Arabidopsis thaliana: one gene and its partners. The protein of the gene in region 2 interacts with the protein of the main gene of each other region in a pairwise test. Each region holds a gene or a part of one and is shown on either strand. Other genes may lie near its edges.

Region 1 (7,780 bases), on a different chromosome or scaffold from region 2:
GATATTGGTTTCTTAATCACAGAACAAGTTATATTTGTAAAGTAAAATAAAAACTACACAAGATTTTTTTTTTAAGATATGGAAGTTTTGAAGTTCACAAGGAAGAGAAAAGTTAAAACCTTTCTTACAAAAAAAATCATGGTATTTAAACCTATTTTTAACATGATATATGAATGATAAATATATAGATGCATGCATTATGCATAACATAACTATGCAAAACATGAGCAAAACATATGCATATGAAAAAACTTTTATATGCAAATCACATCACCTAAAACATGTTTAGCATTGTGAACATCATGGAATTCATTCATTATGTAGAGAAATAAAGAAAAAAGCTTATTAGAGATTATACATATTTTAAGGATATCAACTAGTCTATTAGAACATAATATTACTGCCATGAATGGATGGAAGTAAGGCATATTCACTCCAAATTGCTGCATTTCCCTATGTCGCTAGAATCAACCATATGGAAAACTTTTCCACACTTTTCCACATTTGTTTTAACAAGCGTGTCAAATGAGATTCTCAACTAAAACAAAGACTGATTATTCAAACTCACCACAAAGGTAAAGAGATGATGTGCTTAGATTGTGATTGTAACGAGGCAGCACAAAATTCACACGAACAAGGTTCTCATGGCCAATGAATGATTGAACAAAAGTTAATGTTGTGAAGGCGATTGCCGTCATAACCAAAACCTTAACTACATACACAACAACAATTATAAAAGGATCTTTTGAGCTATTGGTCATACTCATATTCTTTGATTAAAGAAACCGTTATATAATTTTCCAGCTGTTTTAAATTACAAATTTAGTTTGTTTTTTGTTCCGACTCATAGAAATAATTTTAGTTATTGGTTTCTTAATCACAGAACAAGTTAAACTTGTAAATTAAAATAAAAACTACACAAGATTTCTTTAAAAAAAAAAAAAGATATGGAAGTTTTGAAGTTCACAAGGAAGAAAGAAGGTAAATCTTTTTTACAAAAAAAAACATGGTTTAAAGTTTAAAATATGTTGGAATGTATTCATGGTTTCACATAGTCTAAATTAAAATGATACAATATAGAGGAATTGTTAGAAATGCTTCTTTTATATTTCTCTTTTTAAAAATACTTTTTTCTAGCTATTCTTTTAGTTTATATTTTTCGATGACCAAAGGTTATAAATTTTACAAGTTTTTCTAAAAAAAATAGAAGTGTAAAAGTTTTGCTAAGTTTTGACGGTCTTAAGTGATTTTAGTTTTGGGCTTTTGTATATAAAAGAGTAAAATATAAAAATCAAAAATCAATATTATACAATTACAATTTAATTACATTAGCTAACTAAACTGTATAAACATTCATTATCTATACAATAGTATCTCTTTTTTTAAATTATATATATATATATATATATATTGCTTCAATATAAGTATCTGAAACTTTAATACACATTATTACATAATATCATTATGTACTTTTGTTATCATCAATATGTTTTCAACTATACACCTCCTAAATTTAAATCACAACCTAGAGATGTTGTGGTGGGTAAAAAAGCCCAGCCCGACCTGAACCCGAAATAAACCCGCCCACCAAAAACCCAACTTTAGAAAACTCAGATGGGTTTTTTATTTAGTGGGTAAACCCCGAAAAAACCCGATTGTTCCGAAATATATTTTGCTTATAAATATATTTTAAATTATATTTATTTTCTGTATTACATATATATTTGATGGGAAAAAGGTTGAAATGTTAAATTGCGTTTTTTGGCGGAAAAATGTTAAATTGTGTTTTTGGCGGGAAAAATGTCAAATCCTTTTCTTGGCCGGAAATGTTGAATGTCATTTTTGGCCGAAAAATATTGAATATCTTTTTTGGTGTGAAAATGTTAAATTCCGTTTTTGATCGGAAAATGTGAAATCTTCTTGGCGGGAAATTGTTGAATGTCTTTTTTGGCGGGAAAATGTTAAATTGCGTTTTTGGCGGGAAAATATGAAATCATTTTTGGCGGAAAATGTTGAATCGCGTTTTGGCGGGAAAATGTTGAATTGCGTTTTTGACGGGAAAATGTTGAATATCGTTTTTGGCGCGAAAATGTTGAATGTCTTTTTTGGCGGGAAAATGTTGAATGTTTTTTTTGGCGGTAAACTGTTAAATCGCGGTTTAGGGGAAAAAATGTGAAATCTTTTTTTACAAGAAAATGTTGATTCACTTGAAAAAGGACTTAAAAAAACCCGTGGGTACCCATAACCCAATGAGATAAACCCATATGAGTTTTATTTATTTGGATACCCAGTGGGTTTTAACCCATCATTAACATCTCTATCACAGCCTTTTTTTCTTTTTATAAAATATATTGCACTGTGATAATTTTAAAATACGTCTGTTATAAAAGATACAAACACACATACAAATACACTTCATATAAATACTAAAAAAAAAAAAATCCTCAGTGTAGCGAGAGTCCGATCCTAGTTACAATTATTAGACTACTGAAATGCTATGATATTATATTGTTACCAAACTTCGAATATCCACTTTAATAACAGTTATAAAAATTGTATTATCGTAATGTGTTATCAATACTTATATTTTTTATAGTGTAAGAATAGTGTAGGAAAATACTTGTTTATATTGGAAGTCAAAATTAAATAAAAATGACATAAACGATACTATGAGAAGAAATCAAACTGAGTAAAATGGGCATAATCCAACTATTTTGTGAGCCGATACATATGACAATTTTCGATCGCTGAATCATGGTTTGGAAATATGTTTGATTACTACTCTCTCTTTCTCGGTCAAATTAACATCCGTAAGAGAGAGAAAATTATTCAAACCCCTAGGTTTATGGTGTACTTCGAACCTAGCTAGACTGGGTATTTTGACAATTTCAGTGTCCTAAAATATCTTCTAATAGTAAGAAAATGAAAATGATGGCAAAGAAAAATCGAAAATTTCATGTTTTGACAAAAAAGAAAAAAAAAAAAACTCTTTTTAATCCTAACTAAGTAAATATTAATGTTTTGAGAACTGAGCATTTTATAATCTTTTCCAAAAAGGCAACTATTAGAGAATATTATCTGCTGAAGAAGTCCCACAAAAAAAAAAAAGATATAGAAGCCATGACTTCGTTACTATATTACACATGAAAGTTGCATCAATTCCCTCTCCCTCTTCTTCATCTTCCTCTTTCTCTCCATTATGGATTTAGGAACAGAGATAAAATCAGACACAAGACAAGAAGAACAGAGACATGTTTTCGAAGATTACCCTGAACCTCTTAGATACACCGTAAGTATCACTTTTACATAGTAATCAATTTCTTCTTCATATATAACTATCATCTTCTTTTCTCAATACATATATTTCTTCGTCTTCTTTTTATTGTAGACATGGGTTTTGCGAGTTTCTATCCATTGTGAAGGATGCAAGAGAAAAATCAAGAAAATATTGAGCAAAATCGATGGTAATATATAAACTAAATCTAACGTTTTATTCTTTTTCGATATTGATTAACTAATTATGAGTATTTATATGATTTTATTTTAGGTGTATATACAACAAATATCGACGTGAAGCAACAAAAAGTAACGGTGATCGGAAACGTAGAGCCGGAGATTTTAATCAAGAAGATCATGAAAGCCGGTAGACACGCCGAGCTATGGCCAACGTCAATGGAGAACAACATTAACAACGATTGTAACTATCAGAAGAAACCAAAGAAAGATAACGAAGAAACTAGTGGAGATGAAGACGACGACGAAAACAACAACAACAACAACGGCGGAGGTGACGTCGGTGGTGGAGGTGGTGGTGGAGGAGGAAACTTTGATCAGGTTAAACAAGTTGTTACGTTTGTAAACGGTCAACTTCAACCACAAGGAGATGGAGCTCCGAAGAAGAAGAAGAAAAAGAAAAAGAAGAAGAAAAGCTTAGGGAACACGACGGTGGTAATGGAAGGAGGCGGCGGCGGCGGTGGCGGTGGTGGTCCTCCGCAAAACGATGGACCGCCAGAGACAGTGATATACTCAGCTCCACAAGATCATCACATTATACACGGACCACCTCCTCATCTACATCATCATCAGCAGCAGAATCATCCGTATCCAACGGTTCACAGTCCTCCACGTCATCATCCACAACAAATGTACGGGCCGGGTCCGGGACTGCCTCCTCCTTCGTTTTATCATACTCAGCCTCAAACGGCGCCGTCTTATACGGTGAGTTACAACACGGTGCATGGGCCAATTAATAACGGTGGGAATGAGACGGCGTCGTATTACACGGCTCCTCCTTCTCATCCGACGTCATATTATTCTTATGAGTACGTGGACACTGGCTACGAATCTCCACCGCCCGAATTTTATTCGTATAGATCTCAACCGTCGGAATCGTTTGAGTCACTAAGCGAAGGCAATCCAAACTCTTGTTGCGTTATGTGATTTTGGAAGTTTTTTTTTACTGCTTTTAAGAATCAAATTGACATAATTGGCCTTGGAATGGCATCTTGTAAGTGTTATTAGAGGGGTATTTCGTAAACAATCAACAAAGAACGATATTAGTAAGTAATTTAATCCAACATAAAAATTTATGTATTTCGTAATTTAGCTATCTTTTGGTAAATGAAATGCGAAAATGTACTTCTTTAATGGAAAATTCAGCTATTCATGGGCTTATTCTTTCTTTTTCTTATAATGGTGATTTTTATAATTATTTTTTATTTTCGTCTATTAGATTCGTATAATATAAGCGGTTTATATTATACAAATCTAATACGCGATAATAAAAAATAATTATAAAAATCAACATTATAAGAAAAAAAAAAGCATAATGATTAGGAAATATAAATTGTTAACATATATTGATAGATTTAAAATGACATGATTGCAACAACAAAAAAATTGTAGTATGATTTAAGTATACATTATGATCTACGAAATTTGTAATACCTAAGAAAACATACGGTTTTCATATAAACCAATACCCTATACGGAAGTGACGTGGTGAAGTAGTGTACTATTTTCGAATATCATTTTTTGGGTGCAAAATTTAGAATAACATTTGAGGAGAATAATTGGACTTGGAGAGGAATAAATCTTTTTCCGAGAGAAATAAAAAGAGAGATTTTTGGTGAAAGGGAATAAGAATAATTTGAAAAGGAAGATAAATATGAAGAGAAGGCATATTTAGAAAGCATATTTAATGACAAAGAATATGTAAATAGTGTCCACAGGGAATCGAATTGTTAAATTGGTCTTACATGTTTTAATGTTATACAAACTATATTATATATTGTACTTTTTCCCTAATAAACAACTAACGTGTGAAACTAAAACCGTTAATTACCTATATATACACATGATGTAAACATGTCATTGATACTTTAATTCTTGAATGGTTAAAAGAGAACCGACCAAGATTGAGAATCTGATTCTAGTTAGTAAAACCAATCCACGATAACACATATAGATGTGAAAAGAAAAAAGTTTAAAATTATGACATTATGTCATCACTTAAAGTTATCGTGTGATGGCATAAGGCTGGAAAAAATTGTATGACTATGATGGCATAAACACAAACTAGATTACATTATAGATTATGGTATAAATTGTTCGTGTTTCAAAGAATAGTTATCGTTGTTATAATCAATATTCATTTAATCACATGCATTGAATACTTGCACATATATAACGGTCAATTTTTGTAGTTTTTTTTTAAGTTTATCTAACCACATTTAGTTAGTGTCCGTAAACTAAACTATAAGTAAATTTCTAATCCCCAATGTTTTTCAGTAGTGATACTATTTAGTGTCCGTAAACTAAATTGTATATTGTTTGATGCAACATATTAATGTTGGCATGTCTCTTCAGAGATTCTTTTTAGTAGAAGTTTCATGTTTCTTTCGTAGTAAAAGATTGACATTTTTTGACCTAGATTTATTGACTGTTATAATTGTGTTTGACCAAAGTGTGGAAAGACAAACAAAAGATTTGGAGTTGATGTTGATGTTGTATATGTGATGTTAAACATTAGGAGGCTGAGACCAAGCAGGGGAAATGTTAATATTTACTAGCATTAGTTAACGGGAGTTCAGTACCCATTTGCGGGTTAGGATCGAGTTTTCGGATTTAGAGATATAGAAATCGTTTGGGTAATTCTAGATTTTGCGTTTGGATAGGGTTCGGATTCGAATTACTCGAAGTTCCCAAATATCGTTTTTTATAACCAAATATATCCAAACTACTCGAAAGTACAAAAATATCTAAAAACCTTGAATATTTTTATCCAAATTAAATACCCAAAAACATCTTAAATATCCGAAAATCCTAATATTCTGACACTAAGATTATTACAAATATAAATATAAATAATATATGATTACTATGTATTTAAATTGTGAATTGTTCGGTTATCCGTTCGAATCGGGATGGTTCGGATTTTTGAGTTTGGAAGGATTTTGGGTTCGGTTTCAGATCGGATATTATGCCCCACCCCTACTGTTGACCCATATGAGGTATTGGGTTTTGTAACACTTGTAATTTTTCTTTCTATATTATTATTAAGTTTTGGTACATTTGTGTTTGCCCAAACAAAAAGTAGTACATACGTTTCAGTAATTGTATAGTGTTCAAAAGGTAAAGAAGAAGAAAAAAAGGTGTATTGTAATTTGTAAATATGAATTAAAGTATCTTCCCAAAATGATAATTAAGGGGGTAATAACGCTTATTCATTCCGATTCGAACTCTAAAGACTAACACCTCAGAATGATAAAAAGGTCGAGAAACTGGAGATACTATATCGAACTGGTGAAAAATTAGAAGACATGGTGCACAAAAGCATTTAAGTTAAGTTCCACGACCCAAAGCCAAAATCATTACTTCAGTATGAGGCAATCTTTCGGAAAAAAAAAAACAAGATTCGACAAAAAACAAGACAGATTAAGCTCTTAGTTTTGTTTGGCTTCAACCTTCTTCTTCTGCCACAACCTGTCGACACCACTGTCAGCGTCTCCCTGCAATCGTGTACATCAATAGTTAATTAACCTATGAAGATAAGTAGAAATTCAAAGGGTTGGTTGTTCAACTCTTCTTATGATACACACAAAACAAATCAACTCTCTTCTGACTCAATTATGGACAAAGCATTGAGAAATTGTTACAAACCTGAGCACGGACAAAACCGCAGAGAGCAAAGGTTGTGAACTGTCCGGTGTACAAGCCATTAGCATCTAAATGACCAATGTTGAGCTGAACAGAGGCATGATCCTTGGATGTGATCAACCGGTTAGTAGCAGAACTGCCAATATTCAGTCAAAACAAACAAACAAGAACCAATCTTCTCTTAGTTAATGAGAGAACACAAAACAGAGACCAAAACAAAAGAAGAAGAAATGATTCTCATTACCATTTCCTAGGAATGTAAAGCTCAGTGACCTGACCCTCTTCGTTTTGCATCTTGAAAGCTTAGCTTTGAAAGAGTAAACGAGTCCTATATATCCAAACAATGCAAAAAGAAAGAAAAAACAGAACTATCTTATATTAGACAAGAACCAACAACAGTGACATACACTGAGATCGAAAATGACTGTAAGTGAAAGTAACATCAGAGAAGGATTCAAGACAACAAAGGAATAATCGAATTCGTTGAGTAACAAACAGATCTAACAGAACAATAATACGAATTTGAAGATCTAGGGTTACAAAAACTACAGATTCAATACTATTTATCCATCATGGTTCTTCTACCCTAAACCATCGGCTATATTGGCAAAAGTCCATATAT
Region 2 (7,664 bases):
ATGTAATCCCGAAATAATGGTTCTTATGGAGTATAAATGGTTTTGAGTAAAAACATATACGGCAAAGACAGGGTATGAGCCGGCCAAAGAACCAACAAAAAGAGCAAGTGTTAAAGAGTGAAACAATCACAAGAATCTCAGAATCAAAAAAAAAAAGAGAGGCTACAAACTCATTGCAGATAGTCAATCATCAGCTTGCAGCTTTCTTTCCGCCATTGTAGTAACCCAAATACCATCTCGCAAACTTCTTGAGACCCGTCTGAAGATCGGTGGTGGGTTTGTAGCCGAGCTCTCTCTGCGCAGAACTGATATTAGCATGAGTGAACTGCACATCCCCGTTCCTCGGCAACTTCATAATGTTCCTCTTGGCCTTGACTTTGAGAAGTCTCTCAAGAATGGTGACAAGATCAGTCACTGGAACGGGCGAAGTGTTGCCGAGATTGAAAACCCGTAACTGAGCCGCACCGCGCTTCTTACCACCACTACCAGTGCTCTTCTCAGCCGTGTCCAAAGCCCCTAAACACCCCTTGACAATGTCATCAATGTAAGTGAAGTCCCTAGCCACGGTTCCATGGTTGACCCCCTCAAAGATTGAAATGGCTTTCCCTTTGAGAATGTCTCTGGTGAAGAAGAAATAGGCCATGTCAGGCCTTCCCCAAGGACCATAGACGGTGAAAAACCTCAAGCCAGTAAGAGAGAGTCCATAGATGTGATTGTAAGTGTGAGCAATCTCTTCACCAGCCTTCTTAGTAGCAGCATAGAGACTAGCTGGTTGGTCAGTTCTGTCTTTCTCGGAGAAGGGGACCTTAGTGTTGAGCCCGTAGACAGAGCTAGAGGAAGCCCAGACAATGGCGGGTTGGGGATTGGCAGATTTGCAAACCTCAAGGAGATTGACGAAGCCAGCGATGTTACTGTGAACATAAGAGCTAGGATTTTCCATGGCGTACCTGACACCAGCTTGAGCAGCCAAATGCATAACGTGGGTAAAGGGAACAACTTCAAAGAGCTTCTTCAAGAGAGCAGCGTCATTGATGTCTCCTTCAACAACAAACACTCCGCTTCTCTCCAAAAGGGCTTGCCTTGCTCTCTTGAGCGATGGATCGTAGTAATCGTTGAAGTTGTCAAGCCCCAGAACGCCATCTCCGCGGCGTTTGAGAGCGGCGGAGACATGGGTACCGACGAAACCGGCGGCTCCGGTGACGAGAACAGAGAAACCGCGGCGGGTACGGAGACGGGCGGAGGATCTGACCCGTTTCTCCCAAGCGGGTCCACCCCAGGAGTAGGTACGAAGAGAACGGCGAGAAGGATCGGCGGGATTGGAGGAAACGGGAGATCGGTAGAAGAAGATGAAGATCAAACCAACGAAGACGAGAGACCAAAAGGCGAGCTTGGCGACGGAGGATTGCCACCGCGTACGGTGGAAGTAGGGCTTGAACTTGCCAGGCGTCGAAGGAATATCATCAAGATGCGACATTTGCTTCATATTTACCTCGACAGAGAGAATCTTCTTCTTCTTCTTCTTTGAGGTTTCTTTTTTTTCTTGGATTGGTTTTGGTTTTGGTTTGTTTGGTGAGAGCGTTTATAGGCTCTCCGAATAATAAGGGAAGATCATCAAATTGAAAAGATTTTTGTTTCTCTATTTTTGGGCCTTCTTTATTTCTTTTTCTCTCGAAAATGCACACACACAGAGAAGAAGAAGATGGTCAAAGAGCAAGAAGAGATTATGAGGATTTAAGGGATAGTCAAAGCTTAATTAATCACTCTAGTCTCTATCTCTTACATTTAATTTTCTACAGATTTAGTTTCACTCTTGATTAATTTAGTTATTATAGGTAGATTAACTTTACTTTTATTATTAATGAAGCTTTCATCATCCTTATGGATCTTACTTTAGGGTTCTTATGGCAACAAATGTACTTTCATCGAATTATCATTCAAATACTGATTCATCAAACTCGATGCACTTACTTATTACAAAATTACGCACACAAATACATGTTTAGGTGCTGCCCAAGATCGTCACGTGCAAACTCTAACTAGTAACATGTTTAGGGATTAATTAAATCAAATTTGCAACTTAATACCAAGGCACATTTATCCATGGGGTACAAAAAAGCAAAGAGTAATCTTCAAGGAATAATATAATAACAACACGCATCTACTAGACCGCATATATAATAGTAATATCCATCAAAGCTCTATTTTATTCTTCAAATTCACTTATTGTAAGATAAAAACATAACGATATTGATTTATAGTGACTAGTGAGTGAGTCCGGGTAAATGTATGTGGAAAGGCACACTTGAACAACGTAGAAAATGTCTTTATGATGTGTAAAAGAGAGCTTAGCTTAACAAAAGTCTTTAGCGGCTGCAATAACCGTATCCACGGTGAGTCCAAATTTCCTGTAGAGCACATTGGCTGGTGCACTTGCTCCAAACTGTCTACACCGATGGCTTTTCTTTTGGAGCCAACCATCTTCTCCCACCCAAAGGTCGACCCTGCTTCAATGCTCAGTCTTGCTGAAACCTCTCAAGGTAACACACTTTCTTTGTATTCTTCTCTTTGTTCATCAAACAGCTCCCAACTCACCAATGACACTACTCTCACTGCTTTTCTTTCTTCTCTTAGCTTCTCTCCAGCCTTTGCAGCTATCTCTAGCTCCGACCCTGTCCCCATTAGGATTACGTCTAGTTTTGTCACCTGTGGAGTTGTCTGAGATTACATATCCCCCCTTCACCACTACCTCGACCGAAGTTCCAGGTAGATGAGGCAGCTTTTGTCTGGACAAAGCCAGGATCGAAGGCCTCTTTCTGTTCTCTACAGCAACTTTGGAGGCACGCGCAGTCAAAGATATCGGAAGGAGACCCATATCACTATGGGCCCAAAAGCCCATATTGGAAATGTCCGTTTAATCACGAGTTATTTGTTAGCTTTATATGACACCGTTGGAGGAAAAAGGAAATGGAAGTAAAAAATCACAAGAACAATGGTATTTGTATGGTTTGAGATTTATCTATATGTATAAACTTAAGACTGGATATGCATGGGTTGCATGTTTTTTATTTACGTACTATTTAGGAATATTATGATAAATGTAGAGGTTTAATTTCAAAGATCATTATTATAAACATCTTTTTTTTTTTTTTTTTTGAATATCAGGAGGTTCTGGGCCGAAGCCCGTAATTCCTTTAGGCCCGAAACCACATCATGTAATATTAGTTTCGTTCCAAGTGTCACTCGAACTTGCGATCTCTCAGCTTCGCCTAGGGTCTTTTTGGATATGCTTAATTCAAAATAACTACCACATCTCTTGATTGTTCATCTTCCTTTCAATTTAACTTGGCGAAATATAGTGGACGTGTGGTGTTTGAAACGGATACACTCCTCGATTGACCTTATCAAGATGGTAACCAAAATCACGATGATCACTTCTGGCCGGCGTTCCATTGAGACAGAGAGTTATCTCAGTTTGCTTCTTTTTAATTTTTAGTTTAATTTTCTTTCTAAATTTCTCTAAAATATGTTTGTAATAATCAGAATGCTTGTCCGTCGAAATCTCGACCCTTTTCTTCTTAAATTTTTCATTATTCTCCAATATGGGAACCCTCTTGAGGATGGTTTCTTCTTTGGTGGATGATTTTTAATGTAGGTGCGTAATAATGGTTGTTTTCTTTTTTGCTAATCCATATATAACCTACACTCATCAGATTCAGATAATTGATACAAATTATAGTCAAATTAAAAAAGTATTTGATATATATTCTCCATATATATATATATATATCGAAAATTAATTTGCAGGCCAAAGCTTTCATACAGAATGATCAAACCCTAATTAACAATCAATATCTTCTTTTTTTTGTTTACAATCAATATCTTCTTTTTATTCACCAATTATTTATGCATATGATATCAAGATAAAGAAACTTGGTACACAATTGTACATCATATATCTTAGAATAATAATATTAAAACACCCATACAATCTTGGATCGAATCTTTATGCATCTATATATAATATATCAACATGAAAAAGGTTGAGAGGATGACACCAAATGTCTAGCTAGCGAGCTTCTGTGTAGTTCATCAGGGTTGGGAGTTGTGGTAATAACAAAGGTAAGAGGGGTTAGCCATAGGAGCTCCAATCTGAGAGTGAGGCTGAAGAATCCTCACCTGCCGTTTCAAGAACTTGGTGTAACGTATGGCTTCGTCGAGCATGGAAGCTGTGTCCATCTTCGCACCACCAGGCACGATCCTCTTGAGAATTCGGATCTTCTCGCTGATCCTTTCCCGACGCCGACGAGCAACCACCGTCTGAGGATCGTCGCTTATCCTTACGTTACGGCGGTTCGGCTTAGGGACCGTGGCAGGGTCGATGTCTACGGGCTGCATGACGGCGATCATGTACTGCATCTCCTTCATCGCATCCATGTCTTCATCGTACTCTTCGTCTTCGTCCAAGTGAATTAGGGTTTCGGGAGGTGGATCTAACATGAGATGGTGAGGATCATTGAGAAAAGCTGCGTGTTCTTGTGTGAGAAGATCATTAGCTTTGTTCCAATCCATGAGGAGATGGTGAGGCTGAGGCTCCATCATGCTTCTTTTGGGGCTGTGGTTGGATCTGCTTTTGGACGAGACACAAGAGTCGCACACTCCTTTCTTTTTATACATACCATTTTCCATTTTCATCTTTTCTTATTTCTCAATATATATATTCTTTTTCCAGAAATATACACATATGTATTTACTGATATATATCTTTGACTCGATTAATTAACCGAATGCTTACATGCATGTCTCTTATTATTTACTTCATATGCCTCATTTTTTTTTTATAGGATATATGTCTCATTTTATGATATATTTTACCTTTTCCTTTCTGTTTCAATTAATTAGATGTTTTGTAAATTTATATGTAAATTTTAAGTGTATTTAATATTTTGTGATTATTTATATTCTTTAATAGTATTGTTTTATGAATGGTTGCATGGTTTTAAATTAATTGATATTTGGTAGTGAAAAAAAACTAACTTCTTAATATGTGCGTTTTAATCAAAAAAAAAACCTTACAAAATAACCATTATTTTTTATGACTCAACTTATTTCCTATGTAAAATGTCCTTGAATTTAAAAAATGGAACTTTTGAAAAGGCTTTTGAACCCAACCAGAACATTAGTATTTATATAGGTTATGTATACAAAATTTTCCAAGATTCAAACCTGCTTATATGTTGTCGTGTCCCGTCGTCTGTATTTTTCGGGACTAAATTATAATTTTGCAAATAGTTAAATCTTCAAGTATTTCCAGAAGTATAGTTACCCAAGCTAATATACTGATTCCCCAATATACATCAACATTACAGTTCTTATTTATGTAAAAAATTACTAAATTTAACCCACATTATACGATCAAAGAAATTGATTAGATTCATAATATCAGATTTTTTACACAAACATTAGTAGAACTACCACCAGTATTTTTTCATTTTTTTTATCAACTAGACATATATTAAAAGATAACTATATGATTGACTGTCTAATTGGGAGGAGATGAGTTTACAAAAGTAACTTTAGAAAACAAGAAAAGAGAGAAACGACCTAAACAATCCGTCTTAAAATTCCATAAATAAAAAACATAAGAAATCAAGAAAAAGAAAAATAAAGAAGAGAACATTCCAAACTAGTTTAGTAGGTTGGAGAAAGCTGACCACCAAAAAAAATTTAATCTGACAAAACTATTTTTTTGAATATATATTAGTTATTGTGAAAATAAAAACGTGATGACATCATAGTGACATGGGCCTGCATGAACAATTTAATCAGATATGTTTTTTTTTACCGCAATCAGATATGTTATTACATACATATCAATATTACTTCATTTTATCTTAAATTATATAGCTCATGTTTAATTCTGGAATTGTTTTCATAACTAAATTTTTTTCGATAAAGTTGTCATTTTAAAATATTTCCTAGAGTTCTAATTAAGTTTAGTGTTGTGTGAATGGAAGAATTCGACACATAACTTGCCAAAAATCCGTGCATGTGATTAATTTGGCAAAGGAAATTAAAGAAAATATCATTAGATCATGATTAAAGCTAAGTTTTGCAGCAAAATTATATATATTGCCGTTTAAAGACTCAATATATTTCTACCTTTTTCGCTAACAAATTTCATGGACTCATTTGTGCTAGTTTATATAAACCTTGTTATAACCATTTAAATTCGTATACGTACGTACGGAGCAATACAAGAAACACATATAAAGCAAAATCCTATAGACCACAAAAGATAGAAGAAATAGTGTGTGGTCAAAATCATGGTTACTCAAAAAGCAAGATCAAGAACAAGGGATTAAATTTCTAGGGTTTTTCCTAAGGACGAAGAAGGAGAGAGACTTTACGAAATTAGGGCAAAAAAGGAGCGTTGCACTTTGGTTTGGATATCATTGCCATAAGGAAGCATAAGTCGCTCTTGTAATAGTTACTCAACACATGTCTCCATTTTTAGTGCTCATTATTTTGACCTAATTTTCTTCTCTCTCTCCTCTTTTGACAACTCCTATACACCAAAATAGGCAATTTAACATCATTGTTCTTCTATTTCTTGTCTTTCTTCTAAACCCCACGGTTTCTTCGACATTTTCTTACAAGCCCTTTCAACGGCCTTGATTTGATCTTAGCTAGGAAATATGAGCTGGATACGATAAATGACTTCTTCAACGTTCTCTTTATGATTTTTGGTGTCAATTTCTAGTTCTTAAGTTGTTTTATTTGACGATTTAACAGGATCTCTCCCCCATAACTCATTACACGAAGTGGGGACGGCTTCTTTCGACATTAAGGTATTGCCCATTGTTTAAATTCTCAAGTGGATAAGTAAACTTATAATCACCACTAATTATATATATAAGTATATTACTAATTAATCGGTCTAATTAAGATACCGTCTAAATGTCGTTGTCCACATGAAATTTCTATATGTTGCGTTCATTTCATAGATTTAAAATCGACAAAGCTAGAAGATAAATTTTCAAAATGAGACCTCACATCTTCTTTTCACATTGCCTTTAATGAGTTCAAGACAAAATACCCCGTTTCATGCATTAATGTTCATACTTGTTATATTCATCAACAATATACCAGTACTATGCAACATCAATTAATTATAAGCTTCCTACTTTCGTCCTTTTTATTAGTTAATACAACACTTGCAATTGGAGTAACTCTTACAACGAGAGAATGTATAATCTTATAATAAAAATTTAATATGATGAGATATTTTTTTTGCCTACGGTGATATTAACATAAGGTTTTTTCTTTTACAAAATTAGAATGTTCAGTTCAAACAAAAGAAAAGGATGGATATGGACATATGGTATTTGCATTATTCTAGTAGTCTTCAAAAGCTTTAAGGGTCAACAACCGGATAGTAGATGGATATGTATTTGATACAAAGAAATAATATATTACTATGACGATTTCCCAAATCTTCTATTTTCAAAAGAATGAGGATGAGACTTTTCTTTTTGGAAATAACATATATTCCGTTAATAATATTTAACTTTGCTCACTAATTATCATTTTGTTACTTCTAAAGCAAAAATCTTCGGCGAGAAAATCGAAACAACCAAACGATTTGGATTCCAAATTTCCAAACA
Region 3 (8,381 bases), on a different chromosome or scaffold from region 2:
TGTGTATTTGAATATCTCATTAGGATCTTGGCATCTCCTATTGATCATGATATCTTGTTCTCCGAAGTTTGTTTGGTTTTGTAACAGATTTTATGTTTATGCAGCATTCTTATTACTTCCACTGATTCAAACATGTGGAAGTTTAAACCTTTTGCTCAAAAAGAACCTGCGGGTCTCGAAGGTCGATTTCTCGAGATAGGAAATCTGAAAGTTCAAGTTAGAAATGTCATTGCGGAAGGAGGTTTCTCCAGTGTTTACTTAGCTCAAGATGTAAATCACGCGTCAAAGCAATATGCTTTGAAGCACATGATATGCAATGACGAGGAGTCACTTGAACTCGTAATGAAAGAGATCTCGGTTCTGAAATCCCTCAAGGGACATCCAAATGTTGTCACGCTCTACGCACATGGTATCTTGGATATGGGGAGGAATAAAAAAGAAGCTCTTTTGGCTATGGATTTTTGTGGTAAATCTCTTGTGGATGTGCTTGAGAATAGAGGTGCTGGTTACTTTGAAGAGAAACAAGCTCTTACGATTTTTAGAGATGTGTGTAATGCTGTCTTTGCAATGCATTGTCAATCCCCACGCATTGCTCACAGGTATACATGTTGTATTATTAGATTTCGTTTCGTTTTTACATTAGCAAGCGATGTGAATTGATACTGTATTGGTGTTGCTAATCGTGACAGAGACTTGAAGGCTGAGAATCTTCTATTGAGCTCAGATGGACAATGGAAATTGTGTGATTTTGGAAGCGTTTCGACAAATCACAAGATTTTTGAAAGAGCAGAAGAGATGGGAATTGAAGAAGATAATATTAGAAAATACACAACACCAACATATAGAGCTCCTGAGGTTTGACTGGATATGCACCTATGCAGATTATAAGAGTTTTAAAAGTGGTGAAAAAATGTTTGATTTATGTCTTTATTGGCAATAGATGTGGGATCTCTTTCGAAGGGAGATGATAAGCGAGAAGGTCGATATATGGGTATGTGATGACACTTTTTCAATCTCTCCAGATTGCTAATCTATTTGGTTGAAACTTGAAAGTAAAGGTTTGTTTTTAAAAAAAAATAGGCTCTTGGATGTCTCTTGTTTCGGATATGCTATTTCAAGAATGCATTTGATGGAGAATCAAAGCTGCAAATCTTAAACGGGAATTATCGTATTCCAGAATCGCCTAAATACAGTGTATTTATTACGGATCTCATCAAAGAAATGCTCCAAGCTTCACCCGATGAACGACCAGATATTACACAGGTTAAAAGTCAATTTTTACTCATTGTTTCTTCTCAGTTGAGGAAATGTAAAATGTCTCTAACAACATGTCCATCTACAGATTTGGTTTCGTGTCAATGAGCAGCTTCCTGCTAATTTACAGAAATCATTACCGGATCGACCACCTGAAATGCAATCTACTGGAGTCCATGATGGTATAGTGAATAAAACCTATTTTGGATAGCTTCTCAAAGAAAGATGTGATTTCTTTTGATCCTTATGAATTTTGACAGGCTCATCAAAATCAGCAACTAAACCTTCTCCAGCACCTCGTAGAAGTCCGCCACCGCCGCCACCATCTTCTGGAGAATCAGATAGTGGAGGACCGCTCGGTGCCTTTTGGGCGACTCAGCATGCTAAAACCTCAGTTGTATCAGAAGATAACAAAAACATGCCTAAATTTGATGAACCAAACAGTAACACATCTAAATCTGAAAGAGTTCGTGTGGATAGTCATCAACCCAAAAAACCAAGTCCTGTGAGAGGAGAGGCTCGTGGTATTCAAAGAAATAAAGATCTTGAAACTACGATTTCTCAGAAGAATACAACTCCTGCTGCAGCCAATAACATGACAAGAGTGTCCAAGGATGATGCCTTCAACTCGTTTGTTGCTGACTTTGATACCACAAAGTTCGATAATGGTAATAAACCTGGCAAAGAAGAGGCATTGGAAGCTGAGATACAGAGGTTAAAAGACGAGTTGAAGCAAACAAAATCAGAGAAGGCAGAAATAACTGCTAAGTTTGAAAAGCTTTCTGCTATCTGCAGATCGCAAAGGCAAGAGTTGCAGGATCTCAAACAAACACTTGCCTCTAAAAGTGCCTCACCGTCACCGAGCAGAGACTCTTCACAAAATCAACCCTCTCCAGGGATGCATTCCATGTCATCAACTCCATCGGTATTATTCTTGGTTCTTGTTCATCTAAGCTTAGACACCCATACAAAAGTCTTCATCAATGTATATCTTAGAATTCTAATGTTCTTGATGAAACAGAGAGATAAGATGGAAGGAACAATGTGGGAACTTCAACAGGACAGATCTAACTGGTCAACTGGCAGCTCTGATACAAATTCATGGCAACCTTTTAGTGATGAAGCGAAACCCGTGATGGAATCTGCATCAAAGGGTAACAATAATACGATTAATCAGTCTGTGAGAACCAGAAGTAAACCAGCTTCTGCTGCAGGTACTCAAGGTTTTGAGCCATGGGGTTTCGAGACAGAATCCTTTAGAGCCGCTGCAACGTCTGCAGCTGCTACTTCTGCATCTGGAACACAAAGATCTATGGGCTCTGGAAACAGCACTTCACAGAGATATGGGAACTCAAAGATGAGAGAAAACCAGAAAACAGCTCAACCTGCTGGATGGGCCGGCTTCTAAAACTCACTCAGATGCGCATTGCTATTTCTTCCTCATGCAACAACAACAGCTTCATGTTGCTGCCATTACAGAATCTTGAATCTTTTTGTAGATGATGATCATCCCCTGTTTTTGTGCTGCTGCTAAATATACCCCACCCATATCCATTATGTTTTATGTAGAGTCTTAAACTTTACACATTCTCTGAGCTGTGGCCAGATATCTCAGCTTATGGATTATTATTGGAAAAATAAATAATTCAAGATTCAGACAGCTTACACTTCTTTCTGTGAAACTTAGAACTAAGGTCACATTTAATACCGAACCCAACCATACGATGGCTGCATTATGGTTTAAATGTTACCCAAAAAGATTTCAGCCGTAACTAAATCAGCATTTTAAAATCCTGGATTAATTTTCGTTAATGTAAATCTCACATTGAACCGGACCCGAGTAGAAAAAAGTAAAAAACCGAACCAAAACATTAAATACCGAGCCCTAGTTTAGTTAGTTAGAAGGAACTTAAAAAGAGTTCGTGTCCTGAAAATCAAAGAAAAAGCTACCAAATTTTGAATCGTTGTCTTTAACTTGATTTTCCCCAAATTTCTCAGAAATCAAAATCCGCCGGAACAATGTCTACTCCCGATCCCAATCCCAATCCAAATCCAAATCCTTCCGTCTCTGTAGCAGTATCGACTCCAATCGTCACCGCATCTGAATCTCCGGTGACACAACCTAACACAGTCATAACGCCGTCGTCTCAACCTCAACCTCAAACACCAGCTTCGTCGTACAGAGCCATAGCTCCGCTTCATCGTCATCATCCTCATCAAAATATCTACACTAACCCTTTACCGATTAGGCGTTCGAATTCCGTTACTAATTCGCCTCATCAGCCTCCTCACCCAGACCCGTCTAGTCTGATATACCCGTTTGGTTCTTCGGGTCGAGGGTTTCCGACCCGACCCGTTAGACAGAATTCCAATTCCGTCGCTGATCCAGTTGGTAGTCCTAGTCCAGGTGGGTATACTCCTCGAGGGCCAGTTTACGGATACCACCATGGCCAATTCGTGTCGAATTTGGATCCAATGAATCAGTTCATGAGAGCTGCACATCCTCAGAATCAACAATCTCCTCAACTTGGTTCCGGTCATATGAAAGGAGTTCCTCATTTTTTGCAACCTCGGGTTAGTTATCGTTTTCGTTACCAAAACAAGTTTGAATCTTTTTGTTTAATTCCATAGTTTTGTCAAGTGTTTTTTTTGTAGCTTGTGCTAGTTAGTGAAAATGTGTATGTTGAAGTGAAGATTATTTGCTTTGGTGATTGTAGAATTCGAATAGCAATCTCTAATGAATTAGGAAAGGTTGAAACTTCTGTTAGATATTTGTGTGAGGTTACATTTTGTAAATTTTGGATTTTTGATTGTTAGGCTACTCCTTCTCCAACTTCAATTCTAGACAACAGTGGGCATAAGAAGGCCAGGTACTTTATCTTCTTTGCCATTATGCTTTGTTAATTAGAAACTACTCTAGAAACTTAATAATGTCTCTGTTTCGTTTCCATGGTGTTTAGGAGCCGGGATGATGCTCTGGTCCTCGTTAGAAAAAGAAAGGTATAGTTTTATCCTTGTTTTTTGGTTTTGCATTATCGTTCGAAACCGCTTGCTTCGCCATTTGAGGAATTTTAAATACTTTTTATTTGTTCTGCAGGTTAGAATAACCGAGGGAGCTTCTTTATACTCGCTGTGTCGATCTTGGTTGAGAAATGGTGCTCATGAGGGAATTAAGGTTCGTATCCATTTCTTATTTCTGCTTTGTAGTATAATGCAACACTTGGATTTTTGTATATCTATTCTTGATATCTTTGGAAGATTAATGACGTTGTTTACAGCCGCAGCGAATTGATATGATGACATGTTTGCCAAAGCCTTTACCTGTGGACAAGACGGAGACAAGTTTGCCAAAAGATTTAGTTGAAGAAGCAATTTGCGAAGAAGACAAAGAGGTTTCGTGTTTCTCTGATTTCTTTCTAAAATGGTAATTGTGAAGGGTAAAGCTAAGTTTGATTATTTACTTCAACTCTCTTGATGAGCTTCAGGACGAGGAATCTGTGAAACATTTGTCAGAATCTGATCTTTTGAAAAGACATATAGACCGAGCTAAGAAGGTCCGCGCTCGGTGAGTCCCACAACATATCATCAAAGCTAAGTTCGATGGTTGAAGATTGAATATTTTTTGTTTTGAACAAAATTGTGTGGTTTGTTTTGTTTGCAGATTGAGAGAAGAACGGTTAAAGAGAATCGCGAGGTACAAGGCAAGATTGGCTCTTCTTCTGCCACCCTTTGGAGAGCAATGCAGGAACGAGTAATGATTTTAAAGTTAGGGACTTCGGTGTGAATATACTTGCAGTTGATTTAGAAATGACATAAATTATCTTAGAGCCAGAGTTATGTCTTATGTCTGTGTGTAATATAAGAAAGATTTTCTCTGAATTTTCGTCATACACTCGTATTAGATGATTCTAAACTAATCAACAATCTCAAGATTTTCTGAGATGGTTAACTTATATAGCTCTTATCTTTTTTTTTTTTCAAGAACACCTAGTAGTTCTTGGACAAGTAAAATTTTCAATATAGTATTCGGTCATGGTGGGTCGACCATGTTTTGAACGCTGGATCGATCATCATGTGGTCGGACGATCATAATTTCAGAGATTGATCGACCATCCTTGGAAGCACGAACACATTTAGTCATGTGTTTGAATTTTCTTTTATCTTATTTGTTTCCAACTCCCAAATGATACGAAATGTCACAAAAACTCTTAAAATCACTACATAATCTAAGACTTCCTAAGACACAAATACTCCTATGGACATTAAAACAAGATTTTATCAACAGTGAAGCCATATTATCATCACTGTAGTTCTGAAAATGCCATATTGCCCAAAGTCTTTTCTAGCTAGTATGCCATAGTGGCTAACATCTTCTTCTTTCTTTTCATCTCTCTAAATAAGCAAAAAATTGAGAGGCTTTCTCTTCCTCTTCTATTCCTCTCCAACATAGTATTCATTCTCTCCTCATCTCATCTCTTGTTTCTTTTCAGCCGGAGCTTGTGCCGATGGTTCTACGTCGATCTCACTCTCTCAACGACGAAGAAAACATCCCCCAAAGCCTCCTTCTATGTCCAAATGTAAAGCTTCTCCGCAGCACACAACCTTCCACCGCTGTACCACCACCGTTCCTACTTTTCTGACATGGAACTGAAGCTTTATCAAGTTTTATGTTAAGTAATGTTAATCGGAAGTCCTTTAGGCAAGATGTCTAGCTAAATGTTATAGAAATTCTAGGGTGACAATTTTTGTTTTCAGGCAGACAATGGTAACTAGTAACTGGACAAATTAATTTGAAGTATACAAATTATTATGGACAATATTTTTCTAATATTTGTAGACAATTTTTATTACATATAAGATCAATTACTCAAATTTTGTTTTAAAATATATTTTTTCGAACGAAATATGATTTTAGGATGAAACAAGAGGCCATATAGTACGACGAACATGACCCATCCACAAGCTTAATTTGTTCTTGTTTTCCAACTCACTCTTTTCTAATTTGAAGATTAATGCTTACTGACCTTTAAGATTAAGATGTTGTAGTTTTGTTTTTCAAGTTTTCACCGTTTAAAATACACAAATACCAAAAGTCTTTAGTTACACTTTGTTATGTAACAAAAAACATTGCTGGCATAGTGGCATATTGACAAACCTTCCAAAATTTGATTTATCTGTTTGAAATATCACAGTTAAAAAAACAAACCCAAAAAAAAGAGATGTTTATGACAAATGAACTCCATGAATATGTATTATTCCCTGGCATATGTAACAACATAACTTTATTAACCAACTCTTGTCTCATTATAAATTTCTGAAACAATGTATACAATAATTACTCACTAATTCTTGTAGCAAATTAAACCCAAAAATAGTTAAGAAGAAAATTAACAAAAAAAAATATGGTTGCATACGAGAAGAGTCCTATTGTTTTTCTATTTGCTACAATGATGCTTGTAATGTTTTTGTTTTGTGGAAGTGGAGAAGCAAGAACATTAGGGTACGGATCTATTAAAGGAGACCGAATTCCGGCATGTGGCTATAAAAACCCCAATTCATGTGTCAAACAACCAGTTAACCATTACCATAGAGGTTGTGAAAAAATTACCAGGTGTGCTCGTGATGCTGCTCGTTATACTGAATCCTTCAATGTCGATGACGATGAAAGTCCCATTATTAATCTCCATTGAAATTTAATCTTTAATTTACTTTCGTTGATACTACAAAGATTCATGTATTTATACGTCGTGTAGCTTGAATATATTCATATACCTAATTATCAGTCTATTAAAATGTGAAAGATTATATTTTATTAATTTGTGTTTTTATGTAAAGTCACTAATTGTTGTCTTAAATTTTTATGTATTCTATGCTTTTCCTGAGATTATTTATTTATTTGTTTATAATTTTTTTTTAATTAAAAAATAAATTATGTGTGACTACTCTTTCTCTAGATATGCCTTAAGCAATAAAAGGGGGAAAAACATTTTTTGATGACAAATTAGTTTGTCATATGAATGAAATTGTGGTTTAGATGAATTTCATCCAAGAATTCTTAATAGAACCGAAAATCTCTTTAAGTTTTAACATAATCAACAAAGATAAATTCTATGAACATTCCTAATATTTCCTTTAAGATTACTCAATGAATTCTTGTCCGAGCGCTTGCATTTGTCTAATCATCAACATAGACGAATCATACATTTGCTTGCGGCTAACGTCACCTTCCTTTCCTCCTTCCTCTTCGAAGAGCCTACCATCCAATATACTCAGCACATAGACAAAAATCTATATGAGTTACAAAAATTCATCCATTGAGTTGTTACAATTTAATTTGATTGAAAATTGTTCATTAGACATTAGGTGAGGAATGCAATGTTGTGTGAGTTAAATTTAAGTTACTACTGCTACTATTGATTCAAGTCCGTCATACAAAATTCTAGAGAAAATTAATATATATATCCTCTCGTTTTCCCATATCTTAAAATTGTTAAATTGAAATCCAGAGGGTAAGTGAGAGAAGCAATCGACCTCAGCAAGAGGTGTAGTATTCATAAAAGTTTTACGTTGTATATTTAATGACACTACAAAGTCATTGGAAAATATATTTTTGTAAGGTATATTCTTATAGATTCTTTTAAATGTACTTTTCGTTTCTAGAGTTCTCTGAAGACTTTAGTTCCACTTCAGCGTTTCAACAGTTCAAAGTTTCCACCTCATGCATGTGTTATGTGTACATATTTCTTCTATACATCCTTTTTTTTCAGTGAACTATATGTTATAAAACAGTAACTCTATAGTTAAGTGTAAACTGGTTGGTTTAAGAATAAACTAAATATTTTTTATTAAATTGTAGTAAATTGATTAGTTTAAGATAGAAACCAAAACCAAGCTTAATAAAGTTAGATTGATTCCTAACGTTAGAAAAAAAAAGTTAGATTGATTCCTCACGTTTCAAAAGGGGATCGTTGGTTCTTGGCCTCACACATACTTTTCCTTGACTCTTTCAAAAAAGACAACCTTTGACAAATCGCTTATAAACTGCATTTAATTTTACATAGATAACTGCACTCACTGTCACATGCATGTTCACAATATCTTGACTATATAATAATTACATTTATAAA

The links. The genes of interacting proteins can lie anywhere in the genome.
Region 1: the proteins of IND (region 2) and AT5G27690 interact in binary tests that used the Arabidopsis thaliana proteins (3 or more experiments, as listed by UniProt).
Region 3: the proteins of IND (region 2) and AT2G32840 interact in a two-hybrid assay, tested with the Arabidopsis thaliana proteins (2 studies listed by BioGRID).

What each region holds. Positions count from the first base shown.
Region 1 is NC_003076.8:9,800,597-9,808,376, forward strand, and holds AT5G27690 (Heavy metal transport/detoxification superfamily protein), read left to right. Parts: upstream 1-3,050; 5' UTR 3,051-3,199; coding exon 3,200-3,289; intron 3,290-3,388; coding exon 3,389-3,464; intron 3,465-3,547; coding exon 3,548-4,440; 3' UTR 4,441-4,670; downstream 4,671-7,780. Other genes in the region: AT5G27700 (Ribosomal protein S21e), read right to left, coding at 6,945-7,010, 7,162-7,294, 7,403-7,452. UniProt on the Arabidopsis thaliana protein: Heavy-metal-binding protein.
Region 2 is NC_003075.7:38,512-46,175, forward strand, and holds IND (basic helix-loop-helix (bHLH) DNA-binding superfamily protein), read right to left. Parts: upstream 4,687-7,664; coding exon 4,090-4,686; 3' UTR 3,154-4,089; downstream 1-3,153. Other genes in the region: GAE3 (UDP-D-glucuronate 4-epimerase 3), read right to left, coding at 191-1,483. UniProt on the Arabidopsis thaliana protein: Transcription regulator required for seed dispersal. Involved in the differentiation of all three cell types required for fruit dehiscence. Acts as the key regulator in a network including SHP and ALC that controls specification of the valve margin.
Region 3 is NC_003071.7:13,929,729-13,938,109, reverse strand, and holds AT2G32840 (proline-rich family protein), read left to right. Parts: upstream 1-3,160; 5' UTR 3,161-3,273; coding exon 3,274-3,828; intron 3,829-4,071; coding exon 4,072-4,124; intron 4,125-4,214; coding exon 4,215-4,254; intron 4,255-4,351; coding exon 4,352-4,429; intron 4,430-4,532; coding exon 4,533-4,646; coding exon of another isoform or gene 4,647-4,682; exon of another isoform or gene 4,683-4,739; coding exon 4,740-4,819; intron 4,820-4,915; coding exon 4,916-5,009; 3' UTR 5,010-5,271; downstream 5,272-8,381. Other genes in the region: AT2G32850 (Protein kinase superfamily protein), read left to right, coding at 133-599, 690-855, 941-991, 1,081-1,263, 1,343-1,436, 1,515-2,179, 2,276-2,662; RALFL16 (RALF-like 16), read left to right, coding at 6,657-6,944.